3 linked regions of the Astyanax mexicanus genome follow. The protein of the gene in region 2 binds, or shares a complex with, the protein of the main gene of each other region. Links are inferred from orthologs where the notes say so. Each region holds a gene or a part of one and is shown on either strand. Other genes may lie near its edges. The genes, in order: virma, rbm15b and mettl3.

Evidence for each region.
Region 1: rbm15b (region 2) and virma share a complex: the UniProt entries of both Homo sapiens proteins name them as parts of the WMM complex. The link is inferred for Astyanax mexicanus from reciprocal best matches to the Homo sapiens genes RBM15B and VIRMA.
Region 3: rbm15b (region 2) and mettl3 share a complex: the UniProt entries of both Homo sapiens proteins name them as parts of the WMM complex. The link is inferred for Astyanax mexicanus from reciprocal best matches to the Homo sapiens genes RBM15B and METTL3.

The regions. Positions count from the first base shown.
Region 1 is NC_064408.1:109,657,600-109,664,677, forward strand, and holds the start of virma (protein virilizer homolog), read left to right. Parts: upstream 1-3,975; 5' UTR 3,976-4,030; coding exon 4,031-4,093; intron 4,094-7,078. Other genes in the region: esrp1 (epithelial splicing regulatory protein 1), read right to left, coding at 326-457. UniProt on the Homo sapiens protein: Associated component of the WMM complex, a complex that mediates N6-methyladenosine (m6A) methylation of RNAs, a modification that plays a role in the efficiency of mRNA splicing and RNA processing.
Region 2 is NC_064431.1:1,414,926-1,422,828, forward strand, and holds the start of rbm15b (putative RNA-binding protein 15B), read left to right. Parts: upstream 1-4,819; 5' UTR 4,820-5,066; coding exon 5,067-7,664; 3' UTR 7,665-7,903. UniProt on the Homo sapiens protein: RNA-binding protein that acts as a key regulator of N6-methyladenosine (m6A) methylation of RNAs, thereby regulating different processes, such as alternative splicing of mRNAs and X chromosome inactivation mediated by Xist RNA.
Region 3 is NC_064415.1:18,430,303-18,438,249, forward strand, and holds the start of mettl3 (N6-adenosine-methyltransferase subunit METTL3), read right to left. Parts: upstream 3,029-7,947; 5' UTR 2,895-3,028; coding exon 2,792-2,894; intron 1,939-2,791; coding exon 1,751-1,938; intron 1,638-1,750; coding exon 1,170-1,637; intron 655-1,169; coding exon 479-654; intron 83-478; coding exon 1-82. UniProt on the Homo sapiens protein: The METTL3-METTL14 heterodimer forms a N6-methyltransferase complex that methylates adenosine residues at the N(6) position of some RNAs and regulates various processes such as the circadian clock, differentiation of embryonic and hematopoietic stem cells, cortical neurogenesis, response to DNA damage, differentiation of T-cells and primary miRNA processing.

The sequences.
Region 1 (7,078 bases), on a different chromosome or scaffold from region 2:
GAGGGGAAACATAAAAAATAAAAGAAACAACATGATGTCCACTGTAATGGATGTAGGGTCTGAAAGGGTTATGCCTGTGTGATGGTTAAAAGAGACAAACCAACAGTTTTAGGTTTCTGTCAGTGTTGAGGTTTCTGTCACTGTTGACATGCTAATATAGTAGCTTTAGTTGGCTGACTACAATTATGTTTATGGTGTAAAAAAAAATGTAAATTCTTAAAAACGAGTGTACCTATAGTCTTCATCATCATCTTCTCAACATGGTCTTTAAATACATAAATGAGAAGATAAATAATAATCTCAAAGCGAATAAACCATCTCTCACCTTTTTAGTGACTAAATTGAGGACCTGCCAGACTAGCTGCACCGCCTCGGTTTCGTCTGACCCCAGCAGCTCGCCGCTCGCCCCGCACGTCGTGGTGAAGAACAGCACCAAGTTCTCTGGATTTACCGTCATTTTTAAAAGAGAAACAGTGGAAATAAAAATAACTCTAAGCGTCAGAAAGGTGAAGAAATCCCCAGCCACCGACTCCAGGTGACGGAAGTGAAGTGAGGGCCCCACACACCCCACACCTATGGACAGGTAAACTCAGCGGTTTCGCTCCTTATTTCCCCCGTTTATCTCTGCTGAAGCGATGCTGAAGCGATGCTGAAGCGAATGTCCGCCAGTCCGGGAGTAATGGCTGCTCGCCTGTGCTCGTTTTTGTGTGTGATCTGCCTTGCCCTACCTGGCCACCGCCCACGTGACACAGGTGAAAAACACACCTGGCCGCCGCGAGCGCCCTCTTATTGGTGCTCGGAAACAGGGACGTGGCACAGCACTGGAGGAAAATATACATAAACCCCAACAACACACAGTGAATTAATACCACCACTGAGAAATACAATATATGGGGTAATACTGTATACAGGAGAATAGAGGGGATCTCTATCTGTAGGCCTGCAGTAGGCCTATGGCTAAAACCCAGTGAACCAGTGCCTGTAGCTGAACTAATGACTTACTACAGCATCGCAATATAATTCAGTTAAAATGTGAAACTCATATATAGATGTATTACACACAGAGTGATCTATTTTTTGTGTTTATTTATTTTATTGTCGATGATTATGACTTACAGCCAATAAAACCCCAAAAATCAGTATCTCAGAAGATTATTATATAAAACATATATAGAATATTATATAAAAACAAATTTGTACTTTTGGCAGAGTGGACTGCTGGAAAATGAAATTCACATCTCCACAAAAGTTGTCAGCAGAGGGAAGCATGACGTGCTGTAAGATTTTCACACAGTGGATCAACACCAGCAGATGACATGATTCTCCAAACCATCACTGACCATCAGTAAATTTTGTAGATAGATAGATAGATTTATTTTTATTTTTATTTATCCCGAAGGAAATTTAGGCACAAAGTTTAATTTTTAAAAGTCCACTACAATATATGGGGAATTCACTCTTCACTAATCTAATTTTATTGTGCCAGAGTGATTTAATTGGAGTAAATTACTTACTAAATTTGAGGATAAAATGTGTGTAAAATAATTAGAAAAGGTGTAAATTTCTGTGGCTGGGCACAACACCCACGGTGAGACTGTATTAATAATGCCCAGTTTGACTTGTGTTTCTGTCTTCAGCAGAGCTTCAGCCCTCCTTGGAATGTAGTTATACCTGTTTTGAGCAATTTCAAAAGGAAAATTTGGCCATTCTTCCAGAAGAACTACCTGTCATGCTGAATAGTGGCAGCATCTAATCTGGGTTAAAAGTTCCAACAGACACTCTCCGCAAAAAACAAAAAACAAAAAAAAAACAACAGAAAAAATCATACAGGAAAATTGCATAAGATGACTCCTCTCTTCATCAAGAGTTTTGTTTGCAACAATAGAAAATGATCCACAGATCTGTAGTTCACACACAGGAGTACCCAATGTGAGTACTATTAACACATATTGCTAATTGGAAAATAGAGTGAAAGCAAAAAAAAAAGACTGTCATTTTAATAGAATGGAAGAAATATGATGTAAATGTAAAACAACTGCTGTTAATAATGCTTTATCTGTAGTATCTATAATTTAAAATGGTCCACAGATCTGTAGTACATATACAGCAGTATCCAGTGTGTGTACTATAGATTAAAACATGATGTATTCATTTAATATAAAAATGTAAATTACTTCCAAAAATGTGAATGGAAAAAGCAGATGTAAAACAATATTTTAAAAAATGCTGTTAATCAACAGTAAGATTTTCTGCCTTTCACAGTTCATATTAATTACAGTACACAGTATAAGTCATGTATGTGTTACAATGGTTAAGAAAAAGATGGCAAACAGACATTGAATCAGTGTTCACTTTTCAATTGCTAATGCATGGAAACAACACTGACCTCAAAACTCGGAATTGATTTATTTGTGCACACTGATTTTACGTCGTATGGTTTTATATTTGTGGTTTTTATTAATATTTACTTACATTAAATATGTATATTTTGTTTGTATTCTATTCTTAAATAATATAATAATCAAATAATATATTCTAAATTAATAATATTATTATTTGTGCGGAGCACCTTCCACCTAAAAGCATTACTGTGAATGGAGATTCAGAGCCCTAACAATATAAAACCTTTAAATGAACTTTGATTCAATGTCAGAATTTCAACCTTAACCATTAGGCCTATTAGTTTATGTTAAATAAAGGTTGTTTTTAAGATGTTTTTTACATCATCAACCTTAAAATATGTAATACAACCAAAATAGTGTTAGTTTGCCATATTTTATGAGATTGGCTTTTAAATGGTTTAAAATAGCTTTTGCTGCTATATTACCCTTTGTTATACTACAATATAGTTTATGACAGTGTTATACAGTATCCAAGTGGGCAAATCATAATCTCATATACCTCCCTATCCCCTTTAAATTGCACCATGTTACCGATAAATGACTTCCCCAATGAAGAAGATCACTAAATGTAAAATATTGATTATTAAACCTTGTACTTAAAACTCTTTAGTCTACAGAGCCCCTACTGCAAGAGACTAATAAATCATTTTAAGATTAAATAAAAAGAAACCCATTTACTCATCATTTTCTTACAAAAGATTATCCTTGAATTGGAGCTTTGGTGTAATATTCAGTCTTGTTAATGGGCATTAATTTACAGAAAAGAAAGTTTTATTATTGTGTGGCTACGACTTAATTATCTCATTCACACGCTTTAATTATCTTGTTCCCACACATTAGGATCTCGTTCTCACGCCTTAATTGTCTTAATATGTTGTGGCCACAAATTATTATTATTTTTTAACATGATGTCACCTTAGGGGCTCCATATTCACAAATGTATCTGAGCTGTATCTGTGTGTAATGTGAACAAATTTGTCGCTGAAACGTCTCACATGCGCACATTGATACGTGTATAAACGTCGCCTTTTTCACCAACAACAAAACTCATATTTGAGAGATGACTTGTAGCTTTATAAAGGTGAAATGGATGAGTAAGCAGCTCATATGTGGAGCATCTTTTGCTGCAGTGGAGAAACAGTAAACAGCTGGTCTGAAATACATGCTCAGGTTGAGGAGGTGATAAAAGAGTAGGCTGCTTGCTTTTGCTGTTTTTTCAGCTATTGCTGCTCAGCTGCACCAAGAGATGTTTGGGTAAGAGAGAAAAGCACGTAGCGCATGCGTAAAAGCAAAAAGACACATCTCGCATGTTCATGAATCGGGTATGTAACCGATTTAGGACCACATATGAAAGTGACTTAAATCTGATTTGAATTTGGCACGTTCACACAGCCATGAAAACAATTGGATCTGAGCCACATTGACCAAATATCGGATTTGAGTCACTTCAGCCAGGTTATGTGAACGAACCCTAGTCACTAGTATGTACGCAGCGTGGGAGTCCTTAGCACCGCCCTACCTAGTGCACTAAGTAGGCCGCATGTAGCAAACTGAGATGTACCCGGATGTTGCTAGTGATCCCCGGAGCTGACTTTTCCCCGGCGGATGTTCAAATGTGACGGAGAAACATGGCGGGGGATCCCTCAATGGAGCTTCTGTTTTTAGACACGTTTAAACACCAGAGCGCCGAGGTAATGATCACGGCTTATTCCTTATTAACGCGGCTCACTTCGGGCACCGCGCTCACCTCTAAATACCTGGTTTTAGGGGTAAACGGGCCTGTGCTTTCTCTCAGCTAGCGGGCGGGCTAACCGGCTGTGTTAGCCTAGCCTACCTAAGCTAAGCTAATCTAGCCTGCAGCCCTATTCCTTACATAGATAAATAGCTTTACTAGGTTTAGCTATATGTTTACTTAGTCTGAGACGTTATTAAGAGGGTATTTAAATGTCTGAAATTATAATTACACTCTGTGTAAAGCTATTTCTGTAGAAAAGTAATATAACTTGCAGCCAGAGAGAGAGAGAGAGAGAGAGAGAGAGAGAGAGAAATTAGCCAAATAAGTTAGCCAGTGTAGGTTAGCTAACATAGCTTACACGATATCCCCTAAGTTAAGTTAACGTAAGTTGCATGTTTAAGTTCGATTATTCAAAAAGCCATTATAATGCATTATGAAGCTTGCTAGCAGTATAACTGTGTTTTTAACATTGAGCGCATGGCTTTTTGTGGTCTTCAGCCATTACCACAACCACATCACTGATGCAGGTGAAAAAAAAACACAGCCAAGCTGCACCCAAAGCTAGCTAAGTAGATGAACCCATTTAAGTTACTGCATTGTTTCTCAGCATTTTCTTAGATCTACACCTTTTTTGTGTGTTTTCCCTGCTCCCAACACTCCTGAGCTAACTTCATCTCATTCACACCTCAGCATTGGGTGTGTTAAGGTGGGGGAAACAGCTAAATGTGCAGGGCATGAGAAATCCTGATCCACTGTAACTCAACTCCTAAAAATTAACCATTAGTAGCGTATTCATTTTAGTTCAGTATGTAGGGGTCAAGCATGTATAACGTACTAGAGACCCAGTCTTAAGTTAAAGTACAAAGTGCTCTATCTAAAAAAAGTGGTATTAAGTATTCAACATTTTCTGTACTCAAGTACTGCAAGTAATTTATTTAAAATATGCTACACAAGAACTGAAAGTAAATGTACATTACTGTGTTATGCAATTATTAACATCATTAACGTTATTAAAGCAGTGGAAAGTTCTCAGAGTGAAAGGCAGAACAGGAGCACGCAAGGTCTTCTTATAAGATCAGCTTGATCGCTTGATTCACTCTGTGATAAGGCAGCTTAATCAAAGTGCCATCTACCTTTGAAGGAATGATTCATAACCGCTTTAAAATTTTAATAAGTAGCGATGCAGCACATTTATTAGAGTATGAATCTAAATGTTCTTCCATTTATGCACAGTATGGGTGGGCGATATGGCTCTAAAATAATATCACGATATTCATGTTTTTTTTTTTTTACAATAACGATACTTTTGACGATATGACAAAACACTGAATTAGAAAAAATATTTAGAAGTTTATTATTGCTTGCAATATGATATGGCTAACTGAGATATTAAAAAAATAATTTAATCAGATTTGTGAAAGAAGTCAACGATCCAGAATGTCATGATACTAATAATGCACTAACATTATTTCCATATTCAGGATTAAAGTAAAAAAAATTATACTGGACAGATCTAATCTGTCTCTAGTAGATATATAATAGTAAATGAGATCAGTGTGACTTTTTCTTTTGCTAAAAACAGAAAGAAGTAGTACTCTGATGTGATAATTAGGGATGGGTGATGTGGCACGATATTTAATATCATAGGGTATAATATCGTTCACAATATATAAAACTATTGGCGATATCATGTACGATACGATATGGCACACCGCTAACGCACAGTATGGGCAAATCCAGAGGGCCAGATTGCTGTACAGTATTCTTGCTTTACCTGCTCATGCAAACCTTATTTAACTCACCTGTTAATTGTCTGGTTTAGTAGACCTGTTATAGCAGGGAAATCAGGAAACTGTGCTTTACACACACAGCATTAAAGTAACATTTAGCTATTTAATTTGCAACCATTGGTAATACAAATGTGCAAATGCAGACACACCCAGAGAGCTTGTCTATTCCATGTATAGAAACTATAGAGACTCCCTGGAGCAGATTAACATAAACATATTGGCACCATGCCTACTACCAGGCATGGGTTTCACAGGGGAAAATCCCCCTTGTGTTTTTAGAAATTATTGTGCTCCATCCAGTACATTTCCATGAGTTGAGGGTAAATTTAAGCGGTGATGGTTATCCAGAGTTTACAACAACACGTTTATCATTGAATAAAGGCCCTTAAAATCAATATCGGTCATCACAAATGAAATCACAGCAATCCTCCAAAAAAAGTCTTCCCTGCAAAAAAACAATTGCAGGATAAACTTATTAATACCATAGATTTCAGACAAAACCGTAAATGAGCATGTGTCCAAATACTTTTGTCCATACAGTATATTCATGATTAGAATGTGGGAGAAATGTGAATGGCTTCATATCTGTACAATCTGATGTATAGAAACAATGTGCTGTTCTCTTGAGTTTTAATGATGCTGGTATCTAGGGCTGGCCCGAATAGCGTTTTTTGAGCTCCGGATATTCGGCACTGATTCGAAGCGAATATTCGAATATTCGTTTTTAAAAAAAGAGGTAAAAAAAATAAATAAAAAAAAGCAAATCACGGCCCCTTTAATCCACTGAAAAATGTTCAATTTGCTCTGACCGACGAGACATATTCACCCCGGATTTTTGGTGTTTTTATCCCCCATATTTTTTCTGTGTTTTTAGCTCAGATTTCTTTGTGTTTTCATCCCGGAATTTCTGCTGCCCCACACGCGGCTTATCCGCTGCGTAAGCAGGCTAGGAGGCTGCTGCTGCACGGTTTCTCCGCTGCGCAAGCCAGCCCAGTAAATTGCTGTTTGTGTTTTCACACTTAGGCTATTTGCTTAAAAAAACAAACAAAAAAAAAACGTTTGTTCAGGAAGTATTTTATATTCTTAAACATTGTTAATTATATTAGAGGACAGTCATTGTAAACTGTACTTGGTCTATTTCGGTTAAAGGA
Region 2 (7,903 bases):
AATAGCAGGAGTGCAGCTGAGTGGGTGGGATATTCTGCATAGCTAAAATTTGGGAGAAAAATGAGGCAGAAACACAAATGCACAAGTATAAATGCTCACAATAGCATGAGCCACTTGTGTAGGCTATATTGTAGACTCTAAATTGACCTGATTTAGTAGTATAAACCTTCCTGTGCTGTCTCTCTGCTCTGAAGATGGCGTAGTGATGATGGTATTGAGAAACAAACCAGTTACCAAAAAGTAGAGTCGGTAAAATACTACGCAGTGGAAAACACCAATAAGATCCAACTAAAGCAAAAGCTCTATCTGGACGGGATTAGTTTCTCAGGGGGGCGTCTGTAAAAATATTTCACACTTTTATTCAGTGATAAAACTCCTGCATCCGGACTGCAATTGAAAAAACAAACAGGAGGACCAGTGAGTTGTCGCTGTTGTGTTTTTAACGCGGTTCTGCGTGGAAACCGTGGGGCGTTCAAAGTGTAATTACGGTGCCCTACAGTGGACAAATAGCTATTTCATTAAACACGAAGAGACGAAACTCAGATGTGTGTCCGGACGGGACTAAAATTACCGGAGGGGCACGGAGTTCAGAGAAAAACAGTAGATAATTCAGCCTGTAATTTTTTATCTTAGAACACGTACATGATCGTTCTGGATGGGAATAAAATCACAGAGGATAAAACCCCCCCATAAAAGACATAGAATATTAACTAATCCCATCCGGATAATGCTAAAAACTCGAAAAACCAAAAGATCTAAAGAAAAAGGTGGATTGGTGACCCATGCCTAAAAAGTAAAAAAAATAAAGAAATAAAAATGTTCAGACCTGTGTATGTTTCAGCTTTGGGCCGAAGCCTCGCTTTACATCCAGCCTCACTTTAAACTTTATTTTCCCTTTTATTTTTAGTGCACTTAACTTTGATACAGCATTCATACCAGTGTAGTGAATGTTTATACAGAGATATGGTGTATAGATTTGGGGTGATATTACAAAACACTGTAGTTTCTTTATTTTTGATAAAGGGACAGGGCTTTTTTATTTTATATGATTTGATTTATTATTATATTAAAACAGACCGAAGTTGAGGAGGATGATTAAGGTGATCCATCTACTAAACGTGGTTCAATTCAAATGGACTTCACTGTAAAACATGTTTATTACAGTTGTACTATACTTTTTCATTAAAAAAAGAAAATGAACCCAATTCTTGTTTCTTGTGTAACGGCAGATATTAGTGGTGTGCTCCTGTTTTTATCTGCTCTGGTTTTGATCCTGAATGTTTGGATTCTTTCTGAAATAAGGTGTTTGAACCGGTTTAAAGTGGTGTAAACTTAATATGTACTAATAGGCTAAAGAAGTGTAGCATTAGCTTTTGATTTTTACAGTTTGAGATGCAACAAATATTGATAATTATATAGAAACCTTGAAGTTATTATATAAAATGACAAGCTTAAGCTTTAATATTTGCAAGGTTTAAATGCCCTGACTACTTCCACACATACCTTAATCTGAAAGAAGCCTGGAGACTGATCCCCTGTGTAACGTGCTCTCTATCCACTGTAGTTCCCACTTCCAGGATTTTGGTGATCACCAACAATACCCTTTGAAAGGAAGATATTGAAAGAATATAGTTATTTTAGTGTATTAGAAGTCATTTTGTTTTATTGTACAAGTATAGAACATATTAGGGCTGCACAATATTGGTATTGCACTCTCTAGAATAAGAAAATATAAAAATTGAGTACTAAAAAATAAGTTATTTAGAAATTCACTGAAACTACAAAAGGGGCAAAGAAAATCAAATGTAAAATAAGATTAAAAAGGTTTTAGCTATGAAGTATTGAAATAAGTAAATAAAAAATGAATCAATTATTAAAACAACATTAATTGAAATCTGTAATATAATATAATCTGTAATATACGATGGTGCCAATCCATAAGCATAATTAATAATATTGTGCAGATCTGACAATATTTGACATTTCCTCTCCTGCAAGGTGACTATTATGCTTGTGCACATTGCAATACTGATGCTAAAACACTATATTGTGCAGCCCTAACTCTCATCACATTAATATATTCCTCTAAATGAATCAAATGACAAGAATCACCATCTAGGCCACTACGTAGGCTCACTATTTAGGCTATGAGTGTGGGATGCCAAATATCATAAATTTACCTTTAAAACTGGCACTTTAACAGTGTACTCAAATAATTAAGTCAGAAGTCATTTTTGGGGACATGGCCAAATGCTGATATTTGTTTTTAAATTTTTCATAAATGTGTGTCAATAATTTTCATATTTAATAAGATTAACAATATTAACTAACCATATGTCCTATAATACATCAGATCCTGAAAATCGACATCTAGGCCCTGTACTTAGGCACACTATTAAGGCTACGAGTGTGCGATTTGGGATGCGTACTTTTGATGTCTATATTTACAGTTGTGGTCAAAAGTTTACATACACTTGTAAAAAAACATAATGTTATGGCTGTCTTGAGTTTTCAATAAGTTCTACAACTCTTATTTTTCTGTGATAGAGTGATCGGAACACATACATGTTTGTCACAAAAAACAGTCATAAAATTTGGTTCTTTCATAAATTTATTATGGGTCTGCTGAAAATGTCACCAAATCTGCTGGGTCAAAAATATACATACAGCAACAAAATTTGTCAATTTTGGTGATGTAGCGAGTTGTGTCAATCAAATTAGCTTCATGTCATGGCCTCTTCACTTCTTGTAAGTGATTCTGATTGACTACAGCTGTTGACTTCTCATGAGCCCATTTAAATAGGGCTCATTTGACCCAGTGATTAGACTCAGCTACAAAAGCTACAATGGGAAAGTCAAAGGAACTCAGTGTGGATCTGAAAAAGCGAATTATTGACTTGAACAAGTCAGGGAAGTCACTTGGAGCCATTTCAAAGCAGCTACAGGTCCCAAGAGCAACTGTGCAGACAATTATACGCAAGTATAAAGTGCATGGAACAGTTGTGTCACTGCCACGATCAGGAAGAAAACGCAAGCTATCACATGCTGCCGAGAGGAGATTGGTCAGGATGGTCAAGAGTCAACCAAGAATCACCAAGAAGCAGGTCTGCAAGGATTTGGAAGCTGATGGAACACAGGTGTCAGTCTCCACAGTCAAGCGTGTTTTACATCGCCATGGACTGAGAGGCTGCCGTGCAAGAAAGAAGCCCTTGCTCCAGAAAAGGCACCTTAAGACTCGGCTGAAGTTTGCTGCTGATCACATGGACAAAGATAAAACCTTCTGGAGGAAAGTTCTCTGGTCAGACGAAACAAAAATTGAGCTGTTTGGCCACAACACCCAGCAATATGTTTGGAGGAGAAAAGGTGAGGCCTTTAATCCCAGGAACACCATGCCTACTGTCAAGCATGGTGGTGGTAGTATTACGCTCTGGGGATGTTTTGCTGCCAGTGGAACTGGTTCTTTGCAGAAAGTAAATGGGATAATGAAGAAGGAGGATTACCTCCAAATTCTGCAGGAAAACTTAAAACCATCAGCCCGAAGGTTGGGTCTTGGGCGCAGTTGGGTGTTCCAACAAGACAATGACCCAAAACACACATCAAAAGTGGTAAAGGAATGGCTAAACCAGGCTAGAATTAAGGTTTTAGAATGGCCTTCCCAAAGTCCTGACTTAAACCCCATTGAGAACATGTGGACAGTGCTAAAGAAACGGGTTCATGCAAGAAAACCATCACATTTAGCTGAACTGCACCAATTCTGTCAAGAAGAGTGGTCAAACATTCGACCTGAAGCTTGCCAGGAGCTTGTGGATGGCTACCAAAAGCGCCTAGTTGCCGTGAAAATGGCCAAGGGACATGTAACCAAATAGTAATGTTGCTGTATGTATATTTTTGACCCAGCAGATTTGGTGACATTTTCAGCAGACCCATAATAAATTTATGAAAGAACCAAATTTTATGACTGTTTTTTGTGACAAACATGTATGTGTTCCGATCACTCTATCACAGAAAAATAAGAGTTGTAGAACTTATTGAAAACTCAAGACAGCCATAACATTATGTTTTTTTACAAGTGTATGTAAACTTTTGACCACAACTGTATTTCATTTAAATTAGTATATTTTAAAGTTTACTTAAATAAATTGACGTGATACTGGTCAGGAATCAAAAGCTTTAAATGTTTTTATTTTATTCATGTATTTGTTTGCGTACTTCATCATTAATAATACATACATTTAAACTACTAACCAATTTAACCCCGTGCTTTGGTTTGTTTTTTGTTTTTTTGCACAACATACAATCCATACTTAGGTAACAAACAACCATAATTACAAAAATATAAAAAAAACGTACAATGTAAAATAAATAAATAAATAAAAACAAAACAAAAAAAAAACATTAAAAAAAGAAAAGGGATTCATATAACATTGAAAAACTTCAAAATATATATGGATTTATGGCATTTTTATTTGTCGAAAACTAGTCAATAAGTGTATATATTATATAAAGTCTGAATAAACATGTTTATAGATATGTATTTATATAGAATATTTGCACAATTCAAAAGAGGTCATATGATATGGGACATTTTTCAGAAAATACAAGCTTTAAATATTTATGTTATAAATTAATCTATTTGCAAGTTTCCTAATTAATAATAAATGTAAACTACCAAATGAACCATGTGCTTCATAATGCGTTAAACCCTGAGAATCGCCATCTAGGCCACTGCTTAGGCACACTATTAAGGCTATGAGGATGCGATTTGGGACGTATCCCAGTGACGTCCGAGTCACGTGCGTCTGTGCTCCTCCTACCAACGGCGGCGCGCGCGCACGCTCCCATTGTCCAAGATGGCGGCGCGGGTGCAGCTTCTGTGATGCTGGTGTTTTCGGCGCGTTTGTTTGATGTTTTCCCGCTGAAGCTCCGTCCCCGTATCTCTCTCCGCGTCCGGCGGAACGCGCGTGACGCCCATCGCTCGCGCGGCGTGAGCGCGCGGTGTGGACCGGAGCTGTTTGGTGTCGCCCCGGTTTTTTTTCCTCCGCCGCCAAAAGTTTGCAGGGAGGAGGATGAAGCGGCAGGCCGAGCGGGACACGAGCCCGGCGCGAGCTGCCGCCAAACGGATCCGGGAGCGCGAGAGAGAGCGCGAACGGGAGCGAGACCGCGAGCGCGAGGGCAGACGAGGAGAGGATGCCATCATCGCCTCCGCGGTCGCCGCGCCTCCCGGTGCCCTCCTACCGTCGCCGCCGCTCGCGCTGCTGCTCGCGGACACTCGGAGCGGTTGCTATGGAAAACGTGAGGCGCGCGGAGGAGAGAGCAGCGCGCACCATCGGCTGCACCACGACGCCGGTGCCCTTTCCGCGCGCTCGGGCTTGAGACCAGGTGGGAAAGGTAAAGGGTCTGCAGGCGCCGAGATGCTCGGTGGCCGGGTGGCTGGGGGCGGGGCTGGCAGTGGTGGCAGCAGTAGTGGCAGTGGCGGTGGCAGCAGTAGCAGCAGCAGCAGTGGCCTCGAGTACAAAACCCTGCTGGTCAGCAACCTAGGCTCCCACCTGTCAGATGAGCACATAGAGGATGAGCTCTTCCACAAGTTCAAGAAGTTCGGAGATGTCAGTGTAAAGCTCTCCCACACACCTGAGCTTGGACGGGTAGCCTATGTGAACTTCAGGCAAGTAGAGAGCGCACGGGAAGCACGCCACGCCAGGACCCGCCTGGTGCTGGGGGACCGGGCACTTCGGGTCGAGCCTGTGTACGTCCGCCGCCGCAGCTGCACGCCTCCTGATGTGGCCTACGCTCCCTTGCTACACCCTGCCTACCTCTATAGGCAGCGCTCGCTCTCGCCAGGGCCAGGTGGCAGTGCCATCCGCGATACCCGGGCCAGGCACTATGCTGAGGGTGTCGTTGGGCTCGCCAGGGAGAGGGAGCGCCTCCTGGACTACTACAGCGCTTTGGAGGAGAGGAGCCGGGCACTGGCGTTGCAGCTGCAGGTGGAGGAGGACCTGAAACCAGAGGACGATCAGAGAGCGACTCGGAACTTGTTCATCGGCAACCTGGATCACAACGTGTCTGAAGCAGAGCTCAGGCAGGGCTTTGAGAAGTACGGCGTCATCGAGGAGGTGGTGATAAAGCGGCCAGCGCGTGGGCAAGGGTGTGCATATGCTTTTATTAAATTCCAGAACCTGGACATGGCTCACAGGGCCAAGGTAGCCATGCAGGGACGAGTGTTCGGGGGCAACCAGGTGAAAATTGGATACGGCAAGGCCAATCCCACCACACGCCTTTGGGTGGGCGGCTTAGGCCCGAATGTGTCTCTGGCCGCCTTGGCTAGAGAGTTTGATCGCTTTGGGAGCATCCGTACCATTGACTATGTAAAGGGGGACAATTTTGCCTACATCCACTATGAAAGCCTGGATGCAGCCCAAGCAGCATGTGCCCAGATGCGTGGATTCCCACTGGGTGGCCCAAACCGCAGGCTACGAGTGGACTTTGCCAAAGCTGAGGAAGTACGAGCATACCCGCAGCAGTACCAGCTGCCTCTTCCTTTGCCGCCACCTTTTGAGCCACTTAGCGAAGGTTACAGCCGCCACCGCAGCTTGGAGAGAGAACTTAGGGCTCGTGCTCGTTCACCCTCCCACCCACTTTTCGCAGAGAGGGAACGAGAGCGTGAACGTGAATGGAGTCCTCCTAAAAGCGTGGAACGCAGAACTAACACAGAAGCTTTTGGGCGGGGACGAGCCCGCAGTCGCAGCAGGGAGCGATGGACCAAGGACAGAGACTCTGATCGCAAAGGTTTGGACGAACGACGTAAGCGTCGGAGCCGAAGTCGCAGCATCAGTCCAAGTGACAGGCTGTATGAGGACAGGGGGCGCACCAGGGTGAGAGCAGGTGCCCCTGCAACCCCAGACGACAGTCCAGACCGGGCACGTGGCCGCCTTCCTGACTCCACCTCAGAGCCCCAAAGCCACACACCTGACAGCAGCCGCCAGTCCGGAGACGAGCGAGCTCAGTTGCTGTTGCAGGAGGATTCAAACAAGCATCGTAAAGGAGGAGAACATGAGCGGAACCACCGCAAAAGTGATGCAGACTTAGATCAGCAGGTGAAAAAGTTCAAGAGCGAGCCCAAAAAGCCCAGCACGCTCTCAGAATACGCCCAGACCATCAGCAGAGTGTGGCACGGCTCCCTGGTGCTGAAAAACAGCAGCTTCCCCACCAACATGCACATCCTGGAAGGAGGGGCCAGCTTCTTCCTTTCCCTCATGAAAGACAACCAAGCGGGCAGTGCCAAGATCACACAGCTCAAGATAGCCCAGCGACTCCGACTGGACCAGCCCAAGCTGGATGAGGTGACCCGCCGCATCAAGCTGGGCAGCCCCGACGGCTACACCGTCCTCCTGGCCGTCCAGGGCCCCATGGACCAGGACTCGCCTCCTCTGGAACCTGGAATCCAGAAACGCCTTCTGCGCAACCTGGTCACCTACCTCAGAAACAAGCAGGCAGCTGGCGTGATCAGTCTGCCAATCGGAGGACCCAAGGAACGTGAAACGGGGGGCATGCTGTACGCCTTCCCCCCCTGTGAGTTCTCCCAACAGTACCTTCAGACTGCTCTTAAAACTTTGGGCAAAATAGAGGAGGATCACTTGGTCATTGTGGTCGTTAAAGATTCACTTTAATAGTCCTTTTATAGTGCAGTGCTGTTTAAAACACACACACACAGGTCCAAACTTAAAAGAATACCACTGTCTTCTCAAAAATCTGTAAATTTCAGTGTTTCCCAGTTCTGGTCCTGCTGGTATTTGATCTGATTTTTCTATATTTGACAAACTTTCCTGACTTTTGATAAACTACGTAATAGTGTAATTCATAAATATTTTTTTTTCCAAAGCTTTATCTATTTTGAATGTGTAAGCTG
Region 3 (7,947 bases), on a different chromosome or scaffold from region 2:
TTTACAGGTGTCCATATGGAAGCAGGTGTTCAAAAAGGAGCAGTCACCCAAGCTCTCGTCTGTGTGCTTGTTGATGATTCGCCTACGGAAGTTATATGATTATTTCAGAAACTGATCCTTGACTTAGCTGATGAAATCTTTATATACTTAACCCAAACTGCTACCCTTATAGGATCACATTCACAATGTGTTTTATATAGTTTCTTTTACATATTTCAACATATTTATGGGTGTCTCTTCTGTCTGACCTGGATCTGATCTGAACATGTTTAATATATTATATATATTTAATCATAATTTTCATATGTTTATAGAAATGTTCTTTTAATGTTTCTGCACGTACTTGCAGAGTTTTTCCTCATACCAAATCTTGCCCTACACAAATAGCCATAAACTGAACACAACAAAATTGTATAAATATATAATTGCAGCAGAGAATATGACTTTATGTTTAGAGATGCTGGTGTAGTGGACCTACCTGAAATGCAGCTTGTTACATGGCTGCGGAGTATCTCCATAACGCATACACTCCTCTTTAGTCCCATGATCACAGAACTCCTGCACCTGTGCTCGACCTCGTGAACGGAACTTCTCCACGATGGACTGCTCCCTCGCTGAGCTGGTGTTCAACAGCTCAAGGATCTCCCTGCTCACCTATCATACACAGATACACACATATAGTTAATCAGTTTTACTTTGTCTGTTATTGGACATATCAACCTTGAATCAGCAGATTTCAGAAAATATCATATTCATGTGACATTTCAAATGTCATACTTCATTGCATGCATTTCTGGGCCTATTCAATATGATGTTTGTATATTGTGTTTAACCTTTGGTTAAACCAGGTATTAATACAAGGATATTTAATAACAATATATGGTATATTAATACAATACATTACATATACAATACAGAGTGTAAAATTCCACTTAGTATTAGGGACAGTAAAATGTGCTCTTCTCAGTCGTACAAATTAATTTGTGGTACATTTTGTTAGACATAATCACCATGCATTTAAATGATTGGTTGTGATTATTATTTTATTCATAGCTGGTAAATCTCCAAGATTTATGCCATAGACAATTTGTTGATTGACAAAAGAGCACTGAGATGTGGGTAATAAATATTACATTTTGAAAGATGGTTGTTAAGATGTAGGAAGCTACCTTTTTGCTTTGCTGTTCTTTGGTTGACTGCTGGCTCAACAGGCTCTCGATCTCCATATCCATATGAGATGCCTTCCCCTTATTGGTTCGACCTTTTTTCTCAGCCCCTCCTCCAGCACCTCCTAACTTCCAATCAGAAGTCCCAGTCTGTGAACTGGAGGGAGCAGCCAAAGATATAGATGATGTCTTGGGCGGTGAAGGTGGAGCCTGAATTGAAGGTGAGGAGCCAGGGACCCTTTTTTGATGAATGGCATCATCGCCTTTTCTTTTGACACCAGTTCTCTGAGGTTGGGAGGTGGAACTGCCAATCATGGCCCATAGTTTGGTGTGATCTACAGAGATGACTAAGGTGGACGAGGGACCAGAGGATGAAGTAGTGATGGTTGGCTGCTTGACTTCAATCAACTCTTGAGCAGAAAATTTCAGTAGAAGACTCTGGATGCATGTGTGAGTTACTGGTGCTTCAGACTGAGAGAGACAATAGGAAATAGAGGAGAGTTAGAGTACATAAATGAATATCAAATTACAGAAAATACAGTCTTTCAAACTTTAAACATAAAAAACTCAATCTTTTTACATACAGAGTTGAGCTGGTCAGTAATGGTGAGAGAATCGGTGGGCAGCGACAGGCCCAGTTCGGACAGGTATGCTAAAAGTTTTTTCTCTAATTCAGGATCAGGTGGACGCTCCACCTCTACTTGCGAAGGAGTTTGAACAGCTGGTGCAGGACTTTCACTCCTTGGTGCTGCTCCATCAGATCCTCCAGCATCTGTTAGGAAAGACACAGAAATAAACAAAGACTGCTGACTACATTATGCTCTCTGCATATTTAGTGCATATTTAATAGTTTTTTTTTTATTTTTACTGTTTGTAGAATTCTATAGTACTGTTCATCAGTGCTGACTTTGAACTTGATATCACACAGTGGACCAACACCAGCAGATGACATGTCTCTCCAAACCATCACTGATTGTGGAAACTTCACACTAGACCTCAAGCAGCTTGGACTGTGTGTATCTCCACTTTTCCTCAAGACTCTGGTCTCTTGATTCCTAAATTAAATGCAACATTTGCTGATAGTCAATGATGGTTTGGAGAGACATCACATCTGCTGGGGTTGGTCTACTGTGTTATATCAAGTCCAAAGTCATTGCAGTGTCTACTACGAGATTTTACAGCACTTGTGCTGACAACTTTTATGGAAATGCAGATTTCATTTACCAGCAGGACTTGGCACACTGCCCACACTACCACAAGTAACAATTGGTCATATATGATATTCTAATTTATATCAGACACTGATTTTTGGGTTTTTATTGGCTGTAAGTCATAATAATCAATGAAAGAAATAAACGTTAAAAATAGATTAATCTGCAGGGGAAAAAATGCTTATTTTTTTCTTCTAAAGACTTAAGACCCTTGCAGGGGTCTAGCTTCTAGCTACTGCTGTAGCTGTAAAACTTCCAGTCATTCTACATGGATTTAAACTGTATCTTTAAATGAACTAAAGCAAGCTGAACACATTCACGCGGTAAACTGGACAGAAACTGAGAGTTAAGCGCAAACAGACAGTTAGTAGTGTAGTTTAACTCAGCACAGGCTGTAAACTGTAAACACAGTACCGATAGCGAGCTGTGTGGGGTCTTTCCTCCTCCTCTGAAGCCTCTCCCGCAGAGAATCCAGCTGCTTCTTGTGAGCCTGGATGCTGCTCCACGTATCCGACATGTTAAAGGGTTAAATATCTATATTAAAGCTGTTTCAATGCTTTAAAACTCTTTAAATCCCGCTTTAACGTTACAGCCGCCAACTTAAGCTAAACAACACAGCGTGACCGCCTTCCGGTCTGCAGCGGAAACCCACAACCGGTACAAAAACCATCGCATAAGAGTCCCGGGTGGTAAAATTCTCACAGCATTCTGAACAGGTGTGGAATTCATCCCTAAACATTACATTTAAAAGGCTATATATAAAACATAAACCAATTAATATGTTATACCTTTAAAAAGACTAAAAAAAGACTAAAAAAATGTTTTAAAATGTGTTTAATTTAGTCGCTAAAATTAAACACACGAATAAACCTTTTCTGCCCAGGCCCAGTGTTTAAATATTAATCTTAATGTATTTTATTTAATGGTTTATTTAATATGTATTTAAATTATTTCAAAATATTTTAAAAACTGTGACTTTTGTAACTATATCTTTTTAAAATAGTAAGTGCTTTTTATGTTTCTTTTTTCTCGTACAAACCAATAAAACTGATCATTCTTTATCATTTTTTTTTTTATTTTAAAAGCTGTTTATAAAGTTTACAAACTGTGGTTTGATTTGAATTCAAAAAACGCAAGGTGGCCATCTAGTGGCTGATAGCCCTAGTGGATAAAACATACATTATTATAGTTCATTCTGTTATACTGTATTTTCCTAAGCAATTATCATCAGTGTTATATTAATCCTCCTGCTATCCTCAAATTAACTAACACTTTATTTCCAGTTTCACAGCAATTTAAACCCCAATTTAATTTAAAAAAATATTATAATTGCATTTTAATAAACATGTTAGCACATTTTATTTGCCAGTTACTTTATGTTGATTTGATCAATTAATAGCGATTAATTATGAATTAATTATTAGATGATAAAACTGAATGTCATAGTGACCTAAACATTATTACCACACAAATGTGTGTAAAATATTTATATTTCTTATGTTTTATGAATATGAAACAGCCTTAATAAAACATTAAAACATTAAAATGTAAAAAATATTAAACATTTTTTGTTTTACTTTTTGTCCTTATCAAACTAAGAAAAGACAATACCTATGAATCACAAAACTAATGTCAATCATTTTTTCAGAGACGTTAAACACAGAATGGGGTCACATTTGCCCCAAATATAATAGGAGGGTTAAAGCATTTTTTCCGCAATTGTGGATTATAAGCATCTTTATAATAAGAATCTTCACAAGATATATTTGACAAACAGCATCCAAGTAGCTTTGCTATGTAAAGGTATTTTAGGAAATTACTTTTATATTAAATATGAAAATGTTTAGTTGTTCCCTTCCTGGCTCCAGTGACAGTTTGAGGTGAAGCTTGCATGGAGCTGCTCGGCCATGCAAATCCATTCCATAAAGCTCTCTACACTATTCTGTTCTTGAGTCAATCTGAAACTACATGCAATTTGAAGGTCTGTGGTGAAATTTGGAGACCTCTGTGCTTTAATAGAGCAAGTTGCTTTCGTTCCCAGCTGCTTTTATTTTGTTATAATAGCACTGACAGTTGTCTTTAAATATAAGATGTTTTGGAAGCAGTCTGCATGCCTAGGTGTTTGATATTATACACCTGTGAGCATGGGAGTGATTGAAACCAGCATAGTGGCAGCATAGTGTATAGTGTATCCTAGCACCTTATGTCGTGGTTGGCTAGAGAAACTCATAACATAATTTGTTGATTTAGATCAGTGCAAAACAATCTGCAACAATCTAACAATCTGATCAGCCGTGGTTAGCTAAACTATATGGACAAAAGTAGTGGGACACCTGCTGATCTGTAAATCTAATTTAATCTGTTACTAAAACTATCTCTACTGTCCTTGGAAGGCTTTGTACTAGATTTTTGTGCACTGCTGTGAGAACTGCAATCAGTGAGGTCGGGATGTTAAATAATCTCTAGCCTTCCTCACCCAAAACTCACCAAAACACTCAAAAGTACTGGATGAAGTGCCATCATTCCAGAAAACATAGTTCCACTGCCCCACAGTTTAGTGTAAAAAAAATGGCAACTGGACAATCCAGATCCAGGTGATAATGAGGTGTTATGAGATTTATACTCTTCTAGGCATCACTTGGCATTAGGCATGGTTGCAAAAGGTTCATATTTCTCTGCTCTGGATAGTCCAATTCGATATTGCCAATTCTTTTTTTGTGTGTGCATTACTTTTTACATCTGTTTTAGCAATGGATGCAACCTAAAGTAGTTAAATTAATTAATTACAAGAGATGCCCAGAAACATTTTCACAATCTCACTATTTGATTGACTAACAAAATCATGAAGATGCTGATCTATCAGATCTATCAATCTTGCTGGTCATGCTAATTAATGAGCTTGGTGATGCTGGTCAAACATCTGGGTAATGCCAGTTCAATAACTTGGTGATGCTGGTCAGGCCAATAGATTGGTTTCCTAGCTTGGTCAGATTGATCATGCTTGTAATCCATCAAAATCTAAGAAAAACATGGTAAAAAAGGGTAAAGGGGGAAACCATAGCCAGACATTCGGCTACGGAGTTGGGGCAGGAATTAACACTACATTTTTGTACTAATTTCTACATTAGCCATATCTCTCCATTATTGATTATGTGCCATCATTATGTGCTTTTTCACACTCATAAATCAGTACCTGTTCCTACATTATCTATAGCTTTACATTATACATTATGTGCCCATCACCTTTTTTAACATTCATGACTCAGTAACCATTTTTACATTAGTTATAGCACCACATTATCTCTCTGTACTGTTGTTTTTGTTTTGTTATTTGTTTGTACATTGCGGGTCGACCAGAGGGGGATGGGTTCCTCTGACTGAGTCTTGGTTCCTCCTAAGGTATCTTTCTCTTAATGTAAGGGAGCGTTTCCTTGCCACTGTTGTCACCACAATAATTGGTATCCCTGTGGTGCTGCTCATAAGAGGCGTAGACCTGTTTTTTCTCTGTTTTGTGACTAGGTATAGCTTTTGTTGCAAAAATATATAAAATATTAATATATAAAAAAGAATTAATTAAATTGAATTGTTGTACCTTTTTACAAAACATTAGCCTGGTAAAGTTTGAGGTCTGGTATATGTCACAATTATTTAACATCATTTAATAAAATATTATCTCTTATTACATTTAAAGATCTTTAAACTCTATAAAAGATTTAAAATAAACTGAGTATGGAGTGCTGGTTAAAAAAACTAATGTACCAGTACCCCCTCTTAATCTTTTGTACTTTTGCTGAGTGCTGAGTGCATTAGTTCATGAATGTCTTCCTTTTAGCATCTTTACTCAGTAAATACCAGGTCGTGATAGGTGTACGGCAGTATATGTCAGCGTGCGCGTGTCCTTGCAGTCAGCTGGCAAGAGTACAGGATGGATCCTTATTGAGGGAGCAGTGGGCATGCAGGCCAATTAACATTTGAGTCACTTCTCGTCATTAGCAGCTTGGTGTAACAAGGACCTCATGCAGAGAGCAAGACATGCAAACATACTTTGCACTTAATCACAAGTGACGCACTTGTGGCCCTAACAGAGCTCTACGTCAGTGCACTCCTTGGCTCAGCAGCCATTAGCACCACTGATTAGAGCTTCAGGACTGGGGTCCTGGGTAGATTTGTCAGTGGTTTGAAATGGTCACTTCAGAAGGATGGCTAATGAAGAACCTTTCACAGAAGGTATTGCTCTTCTGTGCCTTTTAATTACATACGTGATTGAGTATTCTAAAAATACCTTTAATAATTAAATAAATAATTCAAATTAATTATTAATATATATTTTACATTAAAAAATAAAAATGGACTTAATAAAATAGTAACAAACAATTTCATCCTTTAAACAATAGGCAGTACAGCAGTGCATTTCGAAAAACAAATGTGCTAGAAGAACCACATTCAGTTCAGTAAAGATCCATGTTTATAATAGACGTTGTGTGTGTGACTGTGTAAACAAAGCCTTTGAATTGTTAAAGAACATTTACATCAAGTGGATGTTCTTTAGATCTATAAAAGGTTTCTCACATGTACACATCTCTGCTATATGCATCCTTCTTAAATAAATATTTGGAAGGAAATGTCTGATTGCAGTGCTATTCAGAACAAAGATAAGGGATAACAGAAACAATAAGCCATCTAAAATTTATACTGATACGGGCAACTCTCAGTCATATTTATTGACCTGCACATACAGAAGTATTGTGTAACGCATGTGTACTGCAACATACTGTAACATACATCTCAGCATGGAGTTATAGATGTTCTTAATGGTATAATCAAACCTATGCAGCTTAAATATTTTCACACAGTTCCTCCAGATTTTGTGGTAGGGATGGAGTGTTGCTAGCGCATAAAATAGTATCCTGCTTGTTTTTAATCAGAGATAGGTCTGGCAATGCATCTGACAATGGCATTGTTCTGTTGGAACTGTGCGTTGGAGTGTGTGCTTTGAAAAGGTAGGGCCACTGGTAGCAGGACCTCATTAACATAATGCTGAGCTGCTTATAATGAACACTAAAAGTGATCTGACATGGTACAAAACAAGGTACAACAGGTCTTCTGAATGTTTGTTACATAACAAAAAATGTCATGGAGCCAAAAATGGTTCTTCTATGACATTTTTTCATATTGTAATTTTTTTGTAAAATATGCAAAATATTTGTAGAGAGCTATTTGTATATATAATACATTTTTTTATTATTTTTTTTTCATTACTTTAATTTTGAATTAGGATTTTCTTTTCCCGATTAATCTTTACACCCTTATGACTTAACTAGTAGCAATTAGTAGGGTTGGATCTCTCTAATGCACTTTTTTCTAATGACACTTTTTTATGTGACCTTATCAAAGTTTTTCCCTACTGAGATATCCCCCTCCAACCCACCCACCCTGACTTTCATCCCGACACGCACCCAAACACCCACCCAGCTTATGCCCATGATGCACACTCATAAACACTTGAAAAAAACCTCCCATCCACAAACAGTGAACACAGAGCCCCCCTCTCTCCAACACCAAGCACACTC